Saccharomyces cerevisiae S288C: one gene and its partner. Changing the gene in region 1 together with any one later gene gives a genetic interaction. Each region holds a gene or a part of one and is shown on either strand. Other genes may lie near its edges.

Region 1 (3,413 bases):
CTTGACAGCGAAAGATATAGCTAAGCTAGTAGCACCTGAGATGCCCCTAACAGAGGTAAGAAAAAGCCATTTGGCAGAAAAAAAGGAGTTGGCTGAGAGAGAAGTACCAAAACTAACTGAAGAGGACATGGAAGCTATTGGGGCGAGGGTTTTTGAATTTTTGGAAAAACAAAAAAGAGAATAAATGTACCAAGTGTATGCACTCTATTTTTATATTTGATTCTCTAGTGTGATTTTTTTAATCAGTATATCCCCTTCACTATTCACGTAGTAAATAAGTTATATTCGACCTGTATATATGAAAGCATAAAGTAAAGTTCAAAGAATATTCAGATATTGATGTGGGCAAACGTGATGACTTCAAATTACAAAATCTTTTCTTTAAAAATAAATTATGTGCGTATGTACATTATTTTTAACCAATAAAAGGGTTTAAATATTTATTTACAAGATTAATGACTGCCCTTTAAGCGTTGTCTCTTTATCTCATTGTACTAATGCTAAAATCGTTCCTGTGGTCGCTTTGCTTCACCAGGATATATCCAATCCCAGCGGCCTTTTTTATGTATAATGGCTAGGATTAGAATTGCCGGTAGGTGCAATACACTAGCCATAAAAGTTTTCCTTGCATAAATGTTGGCTACACTTAGACCTTTATTAAACTTGACGTTATCTTTTAATGTTTTTGCAGAATAGTTGATTCTTTGTTGCCAATAGAATTTGAAAGCCCAGAACGTTAGCCAGGCATTTATAAGTCCGGAATCTATTTGGTAGTACCAATCTGTGATATTAAAATAAGACAATCCGAAACATAAAGGGAACATTAGGATAGAGTATCTCAACGACACACGGGCGTTTAGGAGCGGATTTTTCCATGCAGTCATAACGTATCCGGCATTTTTGTATTCATTTCTAATGTTATGACTCAACGTATTAAAGTGTGGGAATTGCCAAGCAAACAATAGACCAGCAAGGCACCAAGATCCCGGATGTGAAAGCGGACTTGCGGCTGCCCATCCCATTAGAGGAGGTACCATTCCTACTAGGGCACCTAACCATGTGTTAATGATATGCTTTCTTTTCATAGACGTATAGGCCCAGCCATATAACGCGATATTTGAAGCACCAAGAATAGCAACGGTAGGATTAACACCAAAGTACAAGATAGATACTCCTAATGTTCCGATAAGTGCGGCAAACTCGAATGCCTGGGTAGGTGTAACATCACCTCTAACAACGGGCCTCGCCTGAGTTCTCACCATTTGTCTATCAAATTCTGGCTCTCTGCCCATATTTATAGCGTTTGCAGAACCGGAACACAAAGTAGTGCCTACTGTTAAACATAACAATTCATTGACGGAGGCTGGATATGGAGATAAAGCATACGAACAAATGGCACTTAACATCACTAGAATGGTGAGTCGGGGCTTGGTCAACTGAAGATATGGCATAATTACCTTCTTCTTTAAAGTTTTCATATTCAGCCCTTCGCTGATTGCGTGAGATGGTCTCTTAGATTTTCTTACCATCGGGTCTACAAGTTTGACATTAAATGGAAGTTGTGTGCTTGCATCGGTAGTAGCTTCGCTTCCACTTGAAGTTGATATATCATCTGTGCATCTTAGCGTTTTCATGGCAGTCGATTCAACCTTTTTATTGCAATTAGAGGTTCTATCACCATATCCAAAATTGGGAGTAAATTCTATCGGCGCAGTGTTTATATGTTGCTGTTTCCCGCCATGATTCCGACTAATATAACGAACTCCATTAAATCGAATTTTTATTTGAGTATCGTGCAGCTGTGTACCAATTTGTAAGTATATATTCCCTTTATTATGAGCAAGAACATTTCTCATCAAGTGAGCATATGTTCGAGGAAAGTAACTCATCTAAAGAGGAAAAAAGGAGAAATCGAAAAAAAGAGATACTATAGGCCTAAAATAAAAAGACCCCGCTATGAGGAATATTAATCACGCCCGAATCACGTCTATTGCAGATATCAAGAATTTTCTTCTTTGATTAATCTCACTTGCGGTGGATTTACGTCAATGGGCTTGCAAGCATAAAAAAGTCATTTTATTATTCCCTTTGAACAGCGCGCGGGCACGAGAAAGCTGCCCTATATAAACAAAGATCGAGTCTTTTTGGCTTGGATGATGTTTAAAATACTTTAAAAAGTGAAGACAAAAACTATCTTTATTTCCTTAAGTTATAATTATTGATGTATCAAATATAAATATCTATATGTGAGTTTTGTAATTAAAAATATGGCAGGAATATGAAAAATACATAACATCAATGTCTTTATTCATGATTTCAGTTCTTGTTCCAACCTAAATCTACTGCCTCTTCATATGTTGGGTAGTCGGTATAACCTTCCGCGGACATGGTGTAGAAGGTACTTCTGTCATACTTGTTCAATGGCAGGCCCTCTTCTAAACGGTAGACTAAATCTGGGTTAGAGATGAAGAATCTACCATAGCCTATCAAGGTTCTGGGATCCTTTACTTGTTCTCTAACCACTTCTGGATGAAGAGCGTAATTACCAGCTCTGATGATTGGACCCTTCCATATAGAGTAGGCAAAATCGTTAGTACCCTCGGAATATTCTCCTTCGCCCTCCACCAACGATGGGTCCGTGACACGTGGTTCAACGAGGTGCACAAAGGCCAAACGCTTACCAGCCTTTGCCCTCTTCTCTAATTCACCCAAAACATACGAATATTGAGCGATAATACCTGGTTCAGCACCCCCAGACATACTGTTAAAAGTGCCGTACGGCGACAACCTCAAACCCACCCGTTCAGGACCGATAGTTTCGATAAGAGCATCGACAACCTCCAGTGTAAAGCGGGCCCTGTTTTCGATCGTTCCGCCGTATTCGTCGGTCCTCTTATTAGAATGTGGATCCAAGAACTGATTCAACAAGTACCCATTGGCGCTATGAATTTCTACACCATCGGCGCCAGCCGCGATAGAATTCTTAGCCGCATGGATGTAATCCTTGATATACTGTTTAATGTCGTCTTTAGTCAAACTATGTTCGAGATTATTCGCATCTTTGGCCTTTTCTTGTAACGTAGCATTCATATACACTCTGTCAGATGCACAGTCATAGCGTAACCCGTCTCTTGCCAATACGTCTGGGAAGGATGCCCAGCCTAAAGACCAAAGTTGTACCCACGCGAACGACTGACAATCATGGATGGCTAAAAAGATATTCTTCCACTCAGCGACCTGCTCATCAGACCAAATCCCAGGGGCGTTGTCATAGCCGCCGGCTTGAGGGGAAATAAACGTACCTTCCGTGATGATCATGGTACCAGGTCTTTGAGCACGCTGACCATAATACACAGCAGCCCACTCCTTATTTGGAATATTTCCGGGGTGAGTGGCCCTCATTCTGGTCAATG
Region 2 (4,142 bases), on another chromosome or scaffold:
AAGAAGAATAGAAGAATGCCCATGCAGCGATGGATGTCCTGACTGTGTAGCGGCTTCTTTTTGTAAGGAAAACAGCCTGGTCCTGTCGAAACCTGGCGCCCAAGTCGTTTTGCATTGTATTCTAGGTCACTCGGAAGATAGTTTTATAGATCTTATCAAAGATGGTCCAGAGCCAAATATGCCAGAGATAAAAGTAGAGACTGTTATTCCTGTGTCAGAGCATGTCAACTTTTCAGATGATTTTAAGATTATTGACGTTAGAAGAGCTACGAAAGACGATACTCATACAAATGAAATCATTAAAAAAGAGATATGAGCACGCTATTTGTAGTTTGTAAACCGAATATAAATACTCTATTCTACTACTTGTAGATTCACTTGGTGGAAAGAAGTTACATCAACATTCTGTCACCTTGTTGATGCACAGAAAAAAAGACACTTTATTATTGTTGAATAACATTGTCTGTGGTATATATATATATACTATGATATTACAGTTTTTAAGACATTAATGTATTAACAGCCCATTTTACGCTTAATGTCCTCAAATCGGTATAGGTTTGTCCCACGCCAACGAATAAGATAGGAATCCCCGTAGCATAAACCATATTTACCATAGTACCCAGCATTTCACCAACTGTGTCACACTTGGAGATAATAAAGAAGTCAAGATTTCTTCCCTTTCCGAAGGCATCATTAAAATTTTTGGCTTGCTGGACAGAATCAGTACCTACTAAAGCCTCTCCAACCATAATGATTTTATCTGGCTTGGCTTGGTCAGCGAAAGACTTCAATGGCGACATTAAAGTAGGATCATTATGCCTTCTCCCGGCAGTATCCATTAACACTATATCGAAGTTTTGATCACGAGAATATTTGATGGCTTGCTTTGCAATTTTGGTTACCAAGTCAGATCCACCATAACCAGCTTCAAATAGTTCAACGTAGTCATTACCAGTTTTACCCCTTTTGTTCTTGGAGCCACGAACGTGTGAATCATCCATTAGCTGTGCCAAATTTTCAACATGGACCCTTAGTTGCTCAACTGCACCAGACCTAAACGTATCACAAGCAACAATTAAGACCTTGAAATTATTTTGCAGTAACCAAAACGCTAGCTTTGAAAGATTTGTTGACTTACCAACACCATTAACACCAACTATAGAGAACACATAGGGATCACATTTACCTTCTTCATCCTTTTTGCTTCTTTTGCTCTGAATTTCACGGAGGAGATCAACGGATACACCAGGCGTTAATATTTGAGTTAATGCTTTTGTTAAAGATTCACGAGCAGTATTCTCAACACTGGTCCAATTTGCAGTTTTTGAGCCTACAAGATCATGTGAGACTTGCTGTGTTAAATAGTCTGCTGCCTCTGGTGCTACATTTTTGGTTATCAATTGTTGTGTTAACTTCTCTAATACAGATTTCAAATCACTTTCATTGATCGTTTTGTTACCTAGAACGTGTTTTTGAAGGAATCCAAAAGCTGTACTGACGTATCCAGAATTTTTAGCTTCGTTCCCACTAGTTATCTCGTCTTTATGAGAAGACAAAAGATCATCAATTTCTTTGATTAAGAAATCGCCTCCTTCTGTTCTATCCCCAAAAGAATCTTTATTAATAGTGGAGTCTAGAGCTACTTGGCTACTATTGTGGCTGTTGGATGATGAGAAATCTAATTTGGCTGCATCTTCATGATTCATTTCATCAAGCATGCCACCATCACGGCCCCACTTTCTCCCACTACCAACATTTCCTGTAGATTGCTTCTTACCTTTTGTATCCCTCAATTTTTTCTTGGTATTTTTATTATGCGATTGGGGTACTGATCCATTTTTGGTAAAATTATCTGGATTGATATGGTCTTGTTTTATTGACTCTTCATATTTTATCCTAAAATATTGCTCAAATTTCTTCAGGTCGTCTTCAATTCCCTGAAGAATATCGACGTAGTTATGCTTGTTCTTTTCGTTTTGGCCCTGACGATTTTTTAGAATGGATTCACTTAAATGCAATGAGTTCCAGAGTTTTAACACCAGTGCAAGTGTTTGTTGAGTTTCTTGATTAAGCTCTAAAGTCTGCTCGGCAAAAGTCACTACGAAATACAATTCTGGTTGCTTATTCAAATAAAATAGTGCATTAAATGAAGGAGAATTTTTGTGTTCGCTGTTGATTGTTAAAAGATTGAAATCAAATCCGTCTGTATTTGCGTTTGCAACACTTTCTTTTCTAGTTACTGGGGAAGTAATCAGCTGGGATATAAAGCTGTTAATTTGTATTTCAGAAAACTTTTTTCCTAAACAGTTATATTGGTAAAGTACTTGACCTTGAGGGGTAAAGACTGCTAATTGGTCGAACATAATCAATGCACTTATTGAACCGTGAATCTCCTATTGAAAAAAACTACTTGATGAAGTAGCTGAATATTATTCAAACTGTGAGAATACCACAAATCTTTGGCTACAGATTAAACGCTGACGAAAAATTGGTTTATTTATTTCTATCTACTTATTGTACGACCTCAAATGTTTACGCAGTAGTTTCTGAAGTACGAGCAAAATTGCTCGACGATGATTTCGTTATTGTTTCCGGAAAAATTACCCAGCGCATAAAAAGTAAGCTTTCAGTACTTCTCTTTGATGATATTTGTACAGCAAAAGGGTATTTAGTAACGGAATAAATTTAATATATAAGAGTATAAATAACAAAAGACAATATAAATTGAAAAGTTGTAAATATTGAAAAGAAGGCTGCATTATTGTTTTATGTATTTTTGGGAAAAAATATATGACTTAACGAGGTCGAATAAAAAAATTTGGATGATGCCTTACCGGAACGTGGATTAAAAGGAGAAGTACAAAATTCATGCAGTTGTTAATGTTCGCAGGAAATAAAAACAAAGGGAAGGGATACTGAGGGGTGAAGCACAATCCAAAGAACGAAAGTGAAAAACAAGAAAAACAGCAATGACGATATTGGTAGAAGAGATTATACCCTCTTCATGAATGGATTTAATGCACGGACGGTTAAACATGGCAAAGCCATCCCCACCTCAGCTCTCAATAGAATAGGAATCTTTTGCAATTCATGTATTTCTTGTATATAGTTATCATTTTCAATTCTGGTTTCAGTAGTAGAAATGAATTTTTCTAAAGCATTTTGCTTGTTGTCGCTTGCAGATGGTAGCCTTAAATTTGGTACTGTTAGATGCAAATCGCTGAGTTCCTTACTCAATGGATCGCTGATCAATGGTTCAGATTCCGCTTCTTTATCTAGTTCAATATTCGCAATCTCAGCGGCTGTGGATCTGAATTTGTTCTTAATGGAATTTCTATAGGATTTTGGATTTTTTTCATCTGCTGGTATAAAAGTTGCACTATCTACGCCGGGCTGCCAATGCAATTCCAAGACACGATTGGTACCATCAAACTCAGCTTTGATCAAAGGTAGTTGATCTCCATGAACTCTCTTTTCAATACCAAATTCTGGAATAAATACATCAAAGGAGGACTCGTAAACTTGTAAGACAGTAGCCATTGTTAATAATTGTCCTGTAGTATTTCCCATGTCGTTGATTGTTTTACACAACAATAGATGAATTGCTTGTTCCTGTGCTTGATAAGCACAGTCCTTTTTAAAATTACAATATTCGGAGGTAATCTTCAAAGCTTCCATATCTTCGGTGTATGGAGTATCGTGGATAACGGCCTTTAATTGCCTATGAACGACATGATCAGCGTATCTTCTCATTGGCGCTGTGAAATGTGTGTAGATAGGTAGGTTCAAGGCATAATGCCCATATTGGTCCGGGTCTACTTTGCCAGCAATAAAGTATCTAGCTCTTGGCATGGTTTTAAACAGTAAAATTTCAATTCCGACTCTAACATCGTCATCTTTAATTTTTAGCACCCCTTTGATTAATTCATCCGCCGTATTGGTATCAAAATTGTAACCAAAATTTTGAATTTTCTTTCTAAATGACGCCATCTTGGTTGCAATGGGTTGCATCTGCCTTCTCAAAAGAGCTAGATCACCAAGTTTGGTGTAAATTTTCTCTGCAACAGTGGAGTTGACCTTTCTTTTAATCTCATTAATTACAACAAAGCCTAAAGTTCTATCCAGGATGTTCAAGTCAA

Evidence for each region. Genes that interact genetically often act in the same process or in processes that back each other up.
Region 2: mutations in COX10 (region 1) and SRP101 together harm fitness more than expected from each alone (negative genetic interaction), as found in Saccharomyces cerevisiae (2 studies listed by BioGRID).

Annotation. Positions count from the first base shown.
Region 1 is NC_001148.4:223,853-227,265, forward strand, and holds COX10 (protoheme IX farnesyltransferase), read right to left. Parts: upstream 1,890-3,413; coding exon 501-1,889; downstream 1-500. Other genes in the region: mitochondrial 54S ribosomal protein uL24m MRPL40, read left to right, coding at 1-184; OYE3 (NADPH dehydrogenase), read right to left, coding at 2,317-3,413. UniProt on the Saccharomyces cerevisiae protein: Catalyzes the first reaction in the biosynthesis of heme A, a prosthetic group of mitochondrial cytochrome c oxidase (CcO).
Region 2 is NC_001136.10:1,042,646-1,046,787, forward strand, and holds SRP101 (signal recognition particle receptor subunit alpha), read right to left. Parts: upstream 2,367-4,142; coding exon 501-2,366; downstream 1-500. Other genes in the region: HRQ1 (ATP-dependent 3'-5' DNA helicase), read left to right, coding at 1-316; mRNA-binding translational repressor SSD1, read right to left, coding at 2,995-4,142. UniProt on the Saccharomyces cerevisiae protein: Component of the SRP (signal recognition particle) receptor (SR). Ensures, in conjunction with the signal recognition particle, the correct targeting of the nascent secretory proteins to the endoplasmic reticulum membrane system.